2 linked regions of the Saccharomyces cerevisiae S288C genome follow. The protein of the gene in region 2 interacts with the protein of the main gene of each other region in a pairwise test. Each region holds a gene or a part of one and is shown on either strand. Other genes may lie near its edges.

Region 1 (7,996 bases), on a different chromosome or scaffold from region 2:
AAAAAAGTATCACCAGCCAAAAAAGACCAGTTCATACTTAAAGGAGCTATTAAGTAAAACAAGAGAAGATTTCATACCTGTGGAAAAGTTATTGAAGGATAAACGGTTGACATCAAAGGACAAATCCAAGCTACAACGCTTAAATCGTGAAGAGACGGAAGATGCTCTAAACAAAAGAACATTTTTTCAGGTAAAGGGCTACTTAGAGGATGAGAATGAGATCTCTGATTACGAGTTGGACGACTGCCTCATAGAACTGCCTAATGGGAACATATGAATGAGAAAATCTTTTTTTTACCTTTTTCCATTAAGAAATATTCATCTCCTTTTAAGATCAACATATGTAACAATAAATATACTCTTTTAAAGATGTTCTTTTAATTTACTTACTGAAATTTAATATTAATAAAAGTTCGAAAACAAAGACTAAATACAAAAATAAAAAGATCATAAATTCAAACTTTTAAGAATGTCTTTTACGGATACATATTTACATATTAGACTATGATAATCATATATGCTCCTTTCTATCTCTTCTTGCTGAACTTTCTTCCTTTTTATGTTTTTTTGACTTTTTGGATTTTTTATGCTTCGATTTATCACCTTCATCGCTGCTATGCTTACTTTTCTTTCCTTTTTTACTCTCCTTCTTGCTTTTCTTCTTCTTCTTCTTCTTACTCTCACTGTCGTTACTAGTCTTTTTATCTTTTTTCAATTTTTTTCTCTTGACCTTGTTATCATCTTCATCACGCCTTCTTCTCTTCTTCCCTTTACTCGAACTTGCACTAGATACAACAAAGCTGGCTTCCTCCTTTTTACCAAGATTAGTAATGGTTCCTTTCAGCCCTTCTCCCTTTACAAACCACCTGTATAGAGGTGAGCTACTTTTCGATACAGCAGTAGCAACTGCCTCATTTTGAGTAAATTTAATACTGCCATTATTCGAATCAGTGCTTACATCCAGGTTCTTCAGATGTCCATCAAATAGCCTTTCCCACCATGCTTCGCCATCATTCCCGCCAGGAGCATTACCCAATCCCTTCTTATCTCTCTTGTGCTTTACCAGTATGGGTCTTTTCAAACCACCTTCTCTAAACGCTTCTCCTTCTTTCCAACCATATGATATCAGATATTCTTTGCTATCCATGTCCGATTTATTCTGATAATATTTCCGCTTGTATCATTCAATTTTCTATGTACATCATGACAATGAATTGTAGAGTGCATCAATGTCTTTTTTAAAGTCATCGCTAAAAAATTTTCAGGCGGGAACTTATTCAAAATGGCAGATTTACTACAACATTGAAAACCCTTTATATTTATTATATGAGAATCATTAGCGATAAACAAGCCCACATATTCACTTCATAATCTGTGATAATGGAGTATGGACATCACGCTAGACCAGATTCAAAACGACCATTGGATGAAGGATCACCAGCAGCCGCAGGATTAACTTCTAAGAAGGCGAACGAAGCTTTAACAAGAAATAGAGAATTAACAACTGTATTAGTCAAAAATTTGCCTAAGAGCTATAATCAAAACAAAGTCTATAAGTACTTCAAACATTGTGGGCCCATTATACACGTTGATGTTGCGGATTCGCTGAAGAAGAACTTTCGTTTTGCACGTATTGAATTTGCCAGGTATGATGGAGCCCTCGCTGCAATAACCAAAACACACAAAGTTGTAGGTCAGAATGAAATTATAGTATCTCATTTAACAGAATGCACATTATGGATGACGAATTTCCCCCCAAGTTATACTCAAAGAAATATTAGAGATCTATTGCAAGATATTAACGTTGTTGCACTCAGTATACGGCTTCCCAGTTTACGATTCAATACAAGCAGAAGGTTCGCTTACATCGATGTTACTTCTAAAGAGGATGCAAGATATTGTGTAGAAAAATTGAATGGACTCAAAATAGAAGGTTATACTTTAGTTACTAAAGTTTCCAATCCGCTGGAAAAGTCGAAACGGACCGATTCTGCCACACTAGAGGGGCGAGAGATTATGATACGAAACCTAAGTACAGAATTGCTCGACGAAAACCTTCTGAGGGAATCTTTTGAGGGATTTGGTTCCATTGAAAAAATCAACATACCTGCTGGACAGAAAGAGCACAGTTTCAATAACTGTTGTGCATTTATGGTTTTTGAAAATAAAGATTCTGCTGAAAGGGCACTTCAAATGAATAGAAGTTTGTTAGGTAATAGGGAAATTTCCGTTTCCTTGGCTGATAAAAAACCATTCTTAGAAAGAAACGAAGTCAAAAGACTTCTCGCATCGCGTAACAGCAAAGAACTAGAAACACTAATATGCTTATTTCCACTTTCAGATAAGGTGTCACCAAGCTTAATCTGCCAATTTCTTCAGGAAGAAATACACATCAATGAAAAAGATATTAGGAAAATACTTCTCGTTAGCGACTTCAATGGCGCCATTATTATATTTAGAGATAGTAAGTTTGCAGCAAAAATGCTAATGATACTAAATGGATCTCAATTTCAGGGAAAGGTGATACGTTCAGGTACTATTAATGACATGAAAAGATATTATAACAATCAACAGAATCACAGCATGAAACACGTCAAACCTAGTTGTATAAACATGATGGAAAAAGGACCAAATCTTCAAGTAAAGAAAAAAATTCCTGACAAACAAGAGCAGATGTCCAACGACGATTTTCGCAAGATGTTTCTAGGTGAGTAGACTAACCGAACCGGAGAAAGACGAACTTCTAATAGGATGTCATTTTAGCAGTGAATATAAACCCAAGTTTCTTTCCAAACGTTCACATACATCAAGCAGCCAACATTCGAGAGAGCAGAGATTACGTAATTATATACAAGGAACCTTTATCTAAACATTTTCTTCGAAGGTATTATTTTCATATTAAACGTAATACCATTTTTGCACCTCAGGCGGTATTTGAGAAGGGGGTTTAACACTATCTTCAAGTGTGACACCATTACCAGCCCTTTCTGTATTAGGCAGGTTGTCATACTTCTCCTGGAGTGATCCTGAAATGAGGTTTTTCCACGAATTGTGACATTTCTTTATAGTTTGGATGGTTTTATTGGAATTTTGATACTGTTCATGAAAGGCGAAACTATTTAATGGCTTCCCTGCTGGAACTTTATACTTTCTAAACCACTCCCTAGTCGTATCTAGAATCCCAGGAAAGTACTCCTCAATTTTTTCCAAGTCATCTATTTTAGAGGATAAAGGATCATTTACGTCGATCACTATGACCTTCCAATCCAATTCTCCATCATCAATTAAAGCGAGTGATCCTAATACCTTGACCTTTTTAATGGAACCCATTTCCAAAACATCCGAACCGATTTCGCAACAATCAAGAGGATCATTGTCACCTTTCAAAGCCACGTCACACTTCCCCAGTTTATGTTCAATTGTGGGATCTTCCCATGTTTGGGGAATAGCACCATAGTTGTGTATATAGCCGTGATAGGGAAAGATATTGTTCACGAACCTAAGCTTGCCATTCTTCGTATCTTGAACGATCGGATTGAACCTAAGTTCTTTGGATATTTCAAATTTTCCAGTTGTCCATCTTGGTACTTCAACAATCATATTTACGGTCTTTTCATGTTCATTCAAATCTAAAGGGACATCATGGAAAAAAGAACCAACCTCTCCATTTAATAATGTCAAGTATTTCTTAAACCCGAGGGTATATTTGCTGCCTTGTTGAATGGTGCTGAATTGTCTATGATTACGAATGGATAAAATATTCAATGTTTGTTTTAACCGTTCTATTGACCTAGCCTTGCTTGTTAAAGCATTCATTCGTAATAAATTCATGTTTTTCAGTAACTTCTCTAGAAGGGAATTTGCTTTTCACGCATACAAGCGAATCAAAGTTTCCAATTGAATGTACTCCCTATTAGTGCTGGTTAAATTAGCTGACTGCTCCGTATTACTGTGCGGAGTTCCTTTTATCCAATATTCAAACCTCATAGATTGCCAAAAACAAAAAAACTTTGCATAAAAAAAAACAAAAAGGGTTACTATACACGATGAATGATTAGACTATACACTATTATATAAGAAATGATTAGAATCATATTTTAAATGTATTAAAAGAATATATGCACGTCCTTTTCCTCTCCTTTTCTTAGTAAAATTACAATTCAACCATCAGAGGATAACAGCTAAACAAATAGGAATAGATAATTTCTGATAATGTTTAACCTTTAGACTGCCGAACGACTCTCTTCTTCCTTATACTTTGGGTCCGCAAATGGATTATTTTCCTTACTAGCTGTGTCAAATTCGCCATTTGCTTCACCATTTGCTTCGTCTTTAACATCATTATATGGTGGTGGTACGTCACGCAGAGTAAATTTCAAATTCTCATCGATGGTAGCATTTTCATCGTTCATTTCAACAACGCCAGAAACGTCTGAAATCAACAATTTGGAAAATCCAAAAGGATCGCGAGGAATCCACAATTCGGGGCATTGTGCACTAACAGCTGGATAATCGTAAGCATGAGAGATATCGAAATCATTGACTCTTTCATCAGGATCAACCAAACCATATATTTCTGGCAGTCTGCTCTTTACAGCCTTATAGGAGTAGTAAATGTGAGGTTTTAAGAATCTCTTCCACCATGGAGCCGGAGGAATTTTCATTGTATCACCATCTGCTAATAATGGCACGTCCTCAATTAAATTTTCTGCATTTATAGCGTGCCCATCTGCATTGGCTTCATTTGCTGGGTTGAATTGATATTCGAATGTATTTTCACTAAATATGCTATTTTCAACTTGTTGCTCAGTGACTGATTCACTCCTCTTGTGATATTTCTTTATTGGAAATTCAGGTAATTCTTTGATTCCGTCCATGTCAATATTTGCACCAAAAGTATTTTTCTTCACCTTTGTACTTTCTATGCCTTTATAAATATTTTTGAAAGAAGGTGTATCTGATACACCATCTAACGGTTTCATGGTATCAACGGGTATAACCTTTGATAAATGATCAAATGCAGCGCTCAAATGTAAATGAATAAGGACGGTAACACAAATTCCAATTACCTGTAAAACGATTGGGCCCCAACCTTTACCAACGGCAAAAAGACCTAATAGACATATCTGACCGATGTAGATACCAACTATAGTTTGGAAAAGAGCTCTTGGATAATAAATACCCCTTGCGTCGGGTGATTCCTGATAGACATAAGTCAAATTGTATAAATATGCAATATACAATAGGAAAAACGCGACGGCAGCAAATAATAAAATCAACGGAGAAATGATGGAGTAGGAGAAAGTAATAACTGCCAAGTTTGTATAAACTGGAAAAGCTGTCCCCCACTGCATACTGGATAGCCCACAAAAACGATTCCATTTCTTCCTAACGGTACCATCTAAAAAGGCACCTAAAACATAAAAGAGTATTAGTGGAACAATTTGCAAAAGAGCACCTGATGAAATGGACAGACCTTGTAGAATAACGTATGACATGAAAAAATTAGAAGCTTTTGGCAGATTAGAAGCCAGTAGATCCATAGCCTTCGTGGGCTCTTTAACAATTTCCGTTACTGTGGAAGTGGCGGCGGAGGATAGAGTGGTAACTAAAAAGACTTGGATAACTTGAAAGGCGAAATAAGCTTGTTGAGTGAAATATTCCACATTTTGCTTAGATGGAGCACCTTGAGTGATAGCCATACCCCTAATAAATTTCGGCAAGAAACTCATTAAAACGGCCAATGCCACAGTTGGGGCCAGAGATGTCAGTAAACCTAATAGTTGTTTTGGTAATTTATAGATGAACTTTAACCATTTAACTTCATTAGTCAAGGAAGTAATATTAGAGATCATACCAACAAAAGCCACTGGGAAAGCCCATAATATTACTAGCGCGACAATTGCTGAAACCGCACTGACTTCCCTACCTAATCTTTCCCACCAGAACATCCTCAAATTAAACCAAACGACATCGGATGGCTCAATACCAATATACACAGGCGTCATGAAAAGAGGAGCATGGTATGTGGTGATCTGAGCGGCAACTTGGGCCTGATATTGGGATTCAAACTCCACAAAAACGGAGTTGAAAGGGGATGAATTTTCATGATCTTCTTGTAATGCCTTCACCTTTTGGTTTAACTTGGGCAACTCCTCCTTAATGTAGGATATGGTGTCAACTTTTTTACCAAAAAAGAATTTAGCAACCTTGTTAATTTTATGATGTGGTCTTTTCTTGTCAGGGACATATTCAGCAATATTATCAGAGACAGATAATTGCGGACTTTTTTTGTTTAACTTCTTAATTTTTTTCAATGCTGCTTTCAGGTATTTTGTTTCAGCACCTTCCAATTGTATGGCCATATTGTCCCTTGCTTTGACCATTGCTTCAATTGAACCGGAACCTCTTGCGATCCAGACTCTTTTCACACCATCAAACAACTTAGAAAACTCTTCTTCACTTAAGTATTGCTTAGGGACAGTCTGGAATAACACGGTTCTCGAGGATAGTTTTTTAGCATAACGAGGGGACGCTAGTACAGCTTGCTTCATAGAGGTGTAAAAATACAATTCTCTGTAAATAATGTAAAGGAACCCCCAAAAGAAAATCCATCCACAGAAAACATGTGCAAAATATCTACCACGGTGCTTGACGTTCTGATAGGCCAATTGATTCAATCCGCTTTCATGGTTACCGTTACTGGCGTTAATGGACAACAAAATAGGGAATATATAACTCATGGAAACAGCACAGTAAATTGCAATGATGAAAAGGTACCTCAAAAAGAAATATCCATCCAGACCGGCTTGTTGAATGACAAAATTGTCTGATTTTTTCAATAACGGCTTCAGCCATTGCCAGACGCCCTGCGGTAGCGGTTCTGGCTTTTTTTCTTCATTAATCAGATTGAATGAGGATTTGGGCTCATAAATCCTTTTTAGTTTTATACGCAAAATCAAGAACGCTATGACAAAAACACCAAAAATAGTACCATTACTTACCAAAGAAGTAACGACTTGTTGAGTTGACGTGTTTGTACTGGTAGCTGTTGTAGTACTATTAGTACTATTAGTACTATTCATTTTGTCCCTTTGCCCTTGCTGCTAAGCCGTAAACTTATGATTACTAAAACAAAAAGAAACGGAAAAGGCAAACGAATTAATATATATAAGATGAAAAAGAAATAGAAAAAAACAACAAACCGAAATTTGATTACGAAATGGCCATTAATAATAATATTATACAACCAGGCACGGGACAACATCAAGATCGAGTGCCAAGCCATGCGGCTTTGCTGTTGGTTATCAAGTATTTTCTTCCTTTTCCACGATAAAAAAACAAAGATGAAGAATTTTTTTCCAACTTCAAAACCGAAGCTGGCCCACAGAATCCACACAGAAGAAACTTTATACCCGAAAGGAGAAGAAAGGGTGTGCCTTTCCCGCTAAAAAATCGTAGCCAGGAAAGGCCGCCCCTGTGATGTCAGCTGCGGGAAGTGATTCGCGCAGAACGACTCACGCAGACGGAACCGCAGCGATGCTGTGGTGCACGGCGGGTAACGGAAATAGAAGAAACGAACCCGTAGATCAGGTCTTACATTACTATAGCGTATAATGGAAGAAAAAAAATGAATTATCATATGTGCTGTTTGTCTGCATAACCCAAACGAGTATAATGGAAGAATTTGAAGAATTTCGAAGGAAAGGGGAGATGTCCAGCAGATGTGGCAATCACCGTGTGCTCAGAAAATGGAATAGTTGCGCTTGCGAGTTGGCCGTGCCCTTTGAGGTTCCTGAGCATGCGATTACGAAATTGCACATATACGACTTCGACAATACATTATTTGCAACGCCGGGTCCTACAGAGCAATTGTATACACGTGAGCTACTAAATTTGTTGACATCGAGCACGCTACCGAATGGAGGCTGGTGGAATGAGCCGGGGTTTCTGCAGGCTGCTATTGAGATCTCGAAGACTAAACCGAGAAGGTATT
Region 2 (7,805 bases):
TACAGTCATCGTTGAAAACGATGGAAAAACATGTCGAGATTCCTCAATCCATACACCATTATAGTCCGTTTTATCAGCTTCCACTAATTTTTTAAATCTCAGTTTCTTCTTGAAATTTAGCATCGTGCATGGGATAGCGGCTAGTAAAAAAGAAAATTAATATCTCATTAACAAAGTTATTGTACATAATCCGGTACAATATTCTTCAATGTACTCTCTAATATCGAGCACACTGGCAATATTCATGCACACATTCGCCTAATGCTGACGAATGCTTAATCAGTGCAATTACTGCCACCCTCTTGATATGTGGGCTAAATCCTTTAGGACCTGTAAAAAATGCAATCACGTTTTCACATTTTTTTTTTTCTTGCGGAATTGCGGAATTTCCCAGTTGGCAGCGTTATCCGATTTGAGATCGACTTGCATCAACCTTTGAAAAATATAAGGATGAGAAAGTGAAATCGGTTTTTTTTTTCCATTGTCGTCATCAACATGATTTTTTAAATAAATAAATACGATTTTTTATTTTTTTTCCCTTCTTTGTTTTTGTTTTGCTTATTCCCATCTTCATTATTAAATTCTTCCGCTCTTAATAAAGGAGTTTTTTTATTATCTTCTTGTGTAATCATCCTTTTTCTTTAATTTTCTTCCTTTTCTTTTTCTCTTTACTGGTTTTTTTACTTCTTTATTCTCAACCATCTAAAGAATATTATTGCTTTCTACCAATAAAATCTGTTAATTCTATTTGGATTGTCGTCTACTCAAGTCTCGCCTAGTAAATAAACGATAAACAAATTTGAAGTAAGAATAACAATATAGGGAGAGAAATTTTTCTATTTTTAATTTCGAAACAGGTACCAAAAAATCTAAGTTCACTTTAGCACTATTTGGGAAAGCTTTTATATAAAAAATCTGAAACAAAATCATATCAAAGATGCAATCTCAAGATTCATGCTACGGTGTTGCATTCAGATCTATCATCACAAATGATGAAGCTTTATTCAAGAAGACCATTCACTTTTATCACACTCTAGGATTTGCAACTGTGAAAGATTTCAACAAATTCAAACATGGTGAAAATAGCTTACTATCTTCAGGGACTTCCCAAGATTCCTTGAGAGAAGTTTGGTTAGAATCTTTCAAGTTGAGTGAGGTTGATGCTTCTGGGTTCCGTATACCACAACAAGAAGCTACTAACAAGGCTCAAAGTCAAGGTGCTCTATTAAAGATTCGTTTAGTGATGTCTGCTCCAATCGATGAAACTTTCGACACCAACGAAACCGCCACAATCACTTATTTCTCTACTGATTTGAACAAGATTGTCGAGAAATTCCCAAAACAAGCCGAAAAATTGTCCGATACCTTAGTGTTTTTGAAAGATCCAATGGGCAACAACATCACCTTCTCAGGCTTAGCTAATGCAACCGATTCCGCTCCAACTTCCAAAGATGCTTTCTTAGAAGCTACCTCCGAAGACGAAATCATCTCTAGAGCTTCTTCCGATGCTTCTGACTTACTAAGACAAACATTGGGCTCTTCTCAAAAGAAGAAGAAGATTGCTGTCATGACTTCTGGTGGTGATTCTCCAGGTATGAATGCCGCTGTTCGTGCCGTTGTTCGTACAGGTATACATTTCGGCTGTGATGTTTTTGCTGTTTACGAAGGTTACGAAGGTTTACTAAGAGGCGGTAAATATTTAAAGAAAATGGCTTGGGAAGATGTCAGAGGTTGGTTAAGTGAAGGTGGTACTTTGATTGGTACTGCTCGTTCTATGGAATTCAGAAAGCGTGAGGGTCGTAGACAAGCTGCAGGCAATTTAATTTCGCAAGGTATTGACGCTTTGGTTGTTTGTGGTGGTGATGGTTCTTTAACCGGTGCTGATCTTTTCAGACACGAATGGCCATCTTTGGTTGATGAATTGGTTGCAGAAGGTAGATTCACTAAAGAAGAAGTCGCCCCATACAAGAATTTGTCCATTGTTGGTCTTGTCGGTTCCATCGATAATGATATGTCTGGTACTGACTCTACCATTGGTGCTTATTCTGCTTTGGAAAGAATCTGTGAAATGGTTGACTACATTGATGCCACCGCTAAATCCCACTCCCGTGCCTTTGTTGTTGAAGTTATGGGTAGACATTGTGGTTGGTTGGCCTTGATGGCTGGTATTGCTACCGGTGCCGATTACATTTTTATTCCAGAAAGAGCTGTTCCTCACGGAAAATGGCAGGACGAATTGAAGGAAGTGTGCCAAAGACACAGAAGTAAGGGTAGAAGAAATAACACAATTATTGTCGCTGAAGGTGCTTTAGATGATCAATTAAACCCTGTTACTGCCAATGACGTCAAAGATGCTTTGATTGAATTGGGTCTAGACACCAAGGTAACCATTCTAGGTCACGTTCAAAGAGGTGGTACAGCTGTTGCTCATGACAGATGGTTAGCTACTCTACAAGGTGTCGATGCTGTTAAGGCCGTTCTGGAATTTACCCCTGAAACTCCTTCTCCATTAATTGGTATTTTAGAAAACAAGATAATTAGAATGCCATTGGTTGAATCTGTGAAGTTGACTAAATCTGTTGCCACTGCCATTGAAAACAAAGATTTCGATAAGGCAATTTCTTTAAGAGACACAGAATTTATTGAACTTTACGAAAACTTCTTATCCACTACCGTTAAAGATGATGGTTCCGAATTATTGCCAGTATCTGACAGACTAAACATTGGTATTGTCCATGTTGGTGCCCCATCTGCTGCTTTGAACGCTGCCACCCGTGCCGCAACTCTATACTGTTTGTCTCACGGCCATAAACCATACGCTATCATGAATGGTTTCAGTGGATTGATTCAAACCGGTGAAGTGAAGGAACTATCATGGATTGATGTCGAAAACTGGCATAACTTGGGTGGTTCCGAAATCGGTACGAACAGATCTGTTGCTTCAGAAGATTTGGGTACCATTGCTTACTACTTCCAAAAGAACAAGCTAGACGGTTTGATTATTCTTGGTGGTTTTGAAGGTTTCAGGTCCTTGAAGCAATTGCGTGACGGTAGAACCCAACACCCAATCTTTAACATTCCAATGTGTTTGATTCCAGCCACTGTTTCTAACAACGTTCCAGGTACTGAATACTCACTTGGTGTTGATACCTGTTTGAACGCATTAGTCAATTACACTGATGACATCAAACAGAGTGCTTCTGCGACAAGAAGAAGAGTCTTCGTCTGTGAAGTCCAAGGTGGTCACTCTGGTTACATCGCTTCTTTCACTGGTTTAATCACTGGTGCTGTTTCAGTGTACACTCCAGAAAAGAAGATCGACTTAGCTTCTATCAGAGAAGATATAACTCTATTAAAAGAGAACTTTCGTCACGACAAAGGTGAAAACAGAAACGGTAAGCTATTGGTTAGAAACGAACAAGCTTCTAGCGTATATAGCACTCAATTGTTGGCTGACATCATCTCTGAAGCAAGCAAGGGTAAGTTTGGTGTTAGAACTGCTATCCCAGGCCATGTTCAACAAGGTGGTGTTCCATCTTCTAAAGACCGTGTCACCGCTTCCAGATTTGCTGTCAAATGTATCAAGTTTATCGAACAATGGAACAAGAAAAATGAAGCTTCTCCAAACACTGACGCTAAGGTTTTGAGATTCAAGTTCGATACTCACGGTGAAAAGGTACCAACTGTTGAGCACGAAGATGACTCTGCTGCTGTTATCTGTGTTAATGGTTCTCACGTTTCCTTCAAGCCAATTGCTAACCTTTGGGAAAACGAAACCAACGTTGAATTAAGAAAGGGTTTTGAAGTTCACTGGGCTGAATACAACAAGATTGGTGACATCCTGTCCGGTAGATTAAAGTTGAGAGCTGAGGTAGCCGCTTTAGCCGCTGAAAACAAATGAATGATTGCAATGAAAAGTTTAAGTTAAGCAAAAGGAGGTAAAAATGGCATGCACTTTAATTTTTATACAATCGTTTTTTTGTCATAAGACTTATTTATGTATCTGTTGTTTTTCTTTTTCTATCCTCTATTTTTGTCTATTTGTCTTTGTTTTACTCTTTTTCATTATTATTTCTTTATATAATTTTTGTACGATATGATACACATAACAATGAGCAATGAACATATTTCTAATCCTAACCATTAGATATACTTTTCAACTGAGGAATAATGGCGCCTTGATTAAACTAAGCTATGGAATTTGCATTATTCAAGTTTTAGGGTGTGCTTAATCTGCGTTGACAATGGTTCACGAAGACGACATCGGCAACTTTGCTGTACTACAAATTGCTCTGAATGTGAGGCTGATCCACATCATAGTGAGGCGCGCTACCTTAATTGTAGTCGTATTGTCATCGGTCTACGAATACCGTTTGGTTTATTTGTCGGCCTTTTTTCTTTCCGTTTCTTTTTATCTTTCCGCTGGAAAAATGGAAACTAGTGCCGATAATCGGAGATGGGATGACTAAATATTTCTTTAAGGCATTGGCAATGTTCAAACCTCTGATAGAACGGCAGATATATATTTAAGAGAATATAGTCAAGGTTGACGCCGCATACTTTGGTTTTGTTTCAAAAAGAAACAGGTGAAAAATTATAAAGACCAAACTAGAATACCATGCCCAGTGTCTGCCATACAAGCCCGATAGAAAAGATTATCCAACAAGGGCATCGCATACAGAATGATTCCTTAATACCGTCAAAACGCACCAAGCTGGCCCATACGGAATTAACAGCACACTATGCCACTGAAGACTCGCATGTGGAAAAACACTTTTTGCATAATGGTAGTAATTTTGACGGCATTGACAATGTAAGGTATCAAAATCAACCCTCTCCATTAACCTTCATTACTCCAAACAACACTGTAGATTCCAGTGATTGGGTTCCGCAGTTCTCGTCTATGAAGATTGACGATTCACTAGAGTTTAGCTCAGAATATAAAAGGTTGTATTCCAATTACGAGTCACAGCAGCGCCTGAATTCAAGCAGACAACACTTACCTTTTAAGAATTGTATGATAAGGAAGACAAGTTGCACTTACCCACCTCAAAAGACGCTTCGACAGCAACGCCAAGGAAACCGGGACAACCCAACGGATGCGTTTCAATTCGACGCGGAGTTCCAAGTTTTGGAGAGAGAAATTCAAAAAGAGCGGTACGAGCCCATAACACGTCGGGACGAGAAATGGTTCGACCAAGATCAGTCGGAACTGCAAAGGATTGCCACAGATATAGTAAAATGCTGTACTCCACCGCCTTCGTCTGCATCCTCCTCTTCTACTCTTTCCTCCTCTGTCGAATCAAAACTATCTGAGTCGAAGTTTATTCAGTTAATGAGAAACATTAGTAGCGGTGACGTGACTTTAAAGAAAAATGCAGATGGAAATTCCGCAAGCGAGTTATTCTCATCCAACAACGGGGAACTGGTCGGAAACAGGCACATTTTCGTCAAGGACGAAATTCACAAAGACATACTTGATTGATATAGGCAGTTTCTACAATTGTACCTCTTGTAACTACTACATACGTTGATATATGTTTACAGATAGCTAAGAATATCAAAATCATGAATATGTGCCCTTATGTGTTCTCTGCGCTGAGGAGTATCGCAGCTTCACTCCTGCAGATGCATGCCCTACCTACTGTCATGCCCATCTCTCTCGTTTAAAACTTACTACACCTTTTTTGTGCATGGATTGTGCTGATGTAAGCTGCACGAAATGACACGCTTGTGAATTTTTTCTTCTCTTGGGAGAAACTGTGAAGAAAAAAAAAAAAGCTTCGCAAAACCCGAATTAGTCTCGAAGGAAGTAATTACCTTGTGAAAGGGTCTTTTGGGATACTAATTTATTATGAAGTTTGGTTTTGGTGTTGCTTGCTCTTTTTTTTTTCAATTTTGAAATGCGTACACGTGAATTTTAGCATAGGTTGTAACAAAAAAAAAAAATGATTTGGATGAGGCAGGCAACCCCTTAAGTAGCTATGGTACCTTTCAAGCTGACAAATAAGGTACCTACGGACACGGGACCTTCTCTGATTTCAGCGCAAAGTGTACCCAGACCAATAGTTTTTATGGATAATCGAAACAATACGCGAATAGTAACACCTACGCTACCTCCAAACCAGCATAGAGGCATATCAGGCGCGTCGACTGCTCTTCCCTGGTCTCCAGAGAGTAAGAATACAGGGAAGTATATTTGGAATAGGGTCAAACTAAAAAACTCTCCGTTTCCCCGTTATCGACACTCTTCCTCATTTATTGTTACGAATGATAACAGGATTTTTGTGACCGGTGGACTTCACGATCAATCGGTATATGGGGATGTCTGGCAAATAGCCGCTAACGCGGATGGTACGAGCTTTACTTCCAAGAGAATCGATATTGATCAAAATACACCTCCCCCAAGAGTGGGACATGCCTCTACTATATGCGGTAATGCCTATGTTGTGTTTGGTGGCGACACACACAAGCTGAATAAGAACGGACTGTTGGATGATGATCTTTATCTTTTCAATATTAATTCTTATAAGTGGACCATACCACAACCTATCGGCCGTAGGCCGTTGGGCAGGTACGGCCATAAAATTTCTATAATTGCTAGCAACCCTATGCAAACTAAACTATATCTTTTTGGCGGACAAGTAGATGAAACTTATTTTAACGATCTGGTCGTCTTTGATTTATCATCATTCCGTAGGCCGAATTCTCATTGGGAATTTTTAGAGCCTGTCGGCGACCTGCCTCCTCCTTTAACAAATCATACAATGGTGGCATATGACAACAAATTATGGGTATTCGGCGGGGAAACTCCCAAGACAATAAGCAATGATACATACCGCTACGATCCAGCACAAAGTGAGTGGTCTAAAGTTAAAACCACAGGAGAAAAGCCTCCGCCAATACAAGAGCATGCTAGTGTGGTGTATAAACATTTAATGTGTGTGTTAGGCGGTAAGGATACCCATAACGCATATTCCAACGATGTCTATTTTTTAAACTTATTATCGCTAAAATGGTATAAGCTTCCCCGTATGAAGGAGGGCATACCTCAAGAACGCTCTGGACATTCTTTAACCTTAATGAAGAATGAGAAGCTTCTTATCATGGGTGGCGACAAAACTGACTATGCCAGCCCAAATATTCACGATCTACAAACTTCAGAAACTGACCAAGGCGAAGGAACTTTACTGTATACCTTAGATTTATCATCTTTGAATGAGCTATGCCCAGGAATAATGTGTGAATCACTACATGCAGGAGAAAGTTTTTCTAATAGTCTTTCCGGGGGCTTTACACCCTCTAAGTCTACCGAAAGTGAAAATCAAGAGATAATAAACATTCTTACACCAAGATTGCCTGATAGCAAAGTTTTGAGTTATAATGATATTGATGAAGGGGCTGGAAGTTACTCCAGCGCTTTGGATGATAAGGCATTTGAACGAAAATCAGATAGGGAGGAAAAGAAACCCCAATCTTCCAAAGTTGATTCAAGCATCAATAAGGAAAGTCCGGGAACTGGTATCAAAGTATCTAAAAAAAATTTCCCTGTTCTACGAGGACTAACAGTGGATTCAGAAGAGTATGGCTCTTCTTCATATAAGGACACATCATGTCAAAAAGGAATTCCCAAAAATCTTTTTGATGATTTAAACCTGAACCTACAAACATTACGTCTCGAAGCTCAACAAAAGGAACTTGAAACTGCTAGACATATTTCACAATTAGAAAAGGAAGTCCAGAGACTCATGGTAATAAAAGAAGCTTCAAAAGATTCAAATTTTCAAACAGCACGGCTTAAAAAT

What was found.
Region 1: the proteins of PEX21 (region 2) and PPA2 interact in a two-hybrid assay, tested with the Saccharomyces cerevisiae proteins (2 studies listed by BioGRID).

The regions. Positions count from the first base shown.
Region 1 is NC_001145.3:797,607-805,602, reverse strand, and holds PPA2 (inorganic diphosphatase PPA2), read right to left. Parts: upstream 3,832-7,996; coding exon 2,899-3,831; downstream 1-2,898. Other genes in the region: RRN9 (Rrn9p), read left to right, coding at 1-277; TMA23 (Tma23p), read right to left, coding at 512-1,147; U6 snRNP complex subunit PRP24, read left to right, coding at 1,381-2,715; RSN1 (Rsn1p), read right to left, coding at 4,224-7,085; YMR265C (uncharacterized protein), read left to right, coding at 7,678-7,996. UniProt on the Saccharomyces cerevisiae protein: Involved in energy production. Its activity is stimulated by uncouplers of ATP synthesis.
Region 2 is NC_001139.9:966,867-974,671, reverse strand, and holds PEX21 (Pex21p), read left to right. Parts: upstream 1-4,618; coding exon 4,619-5,485; downstream 5,486-7,805. Other genes in the region: YGR240C-A (uncharacterized protein), read left to right, coding at 1-95; PFK1 (6-phosphofructokinase subunit alpha), read left to right, coding at 938-3,901; KEL2 (Kel2p), read left to right, coding at 5,985-7,805. UniProt on the Saccharomyces cerevisiae protein: Receptor that mediates peroxisomal import of proteins containing a C-terminal PTS2-type peroxisomal targeting signal via its interaction with PEX7.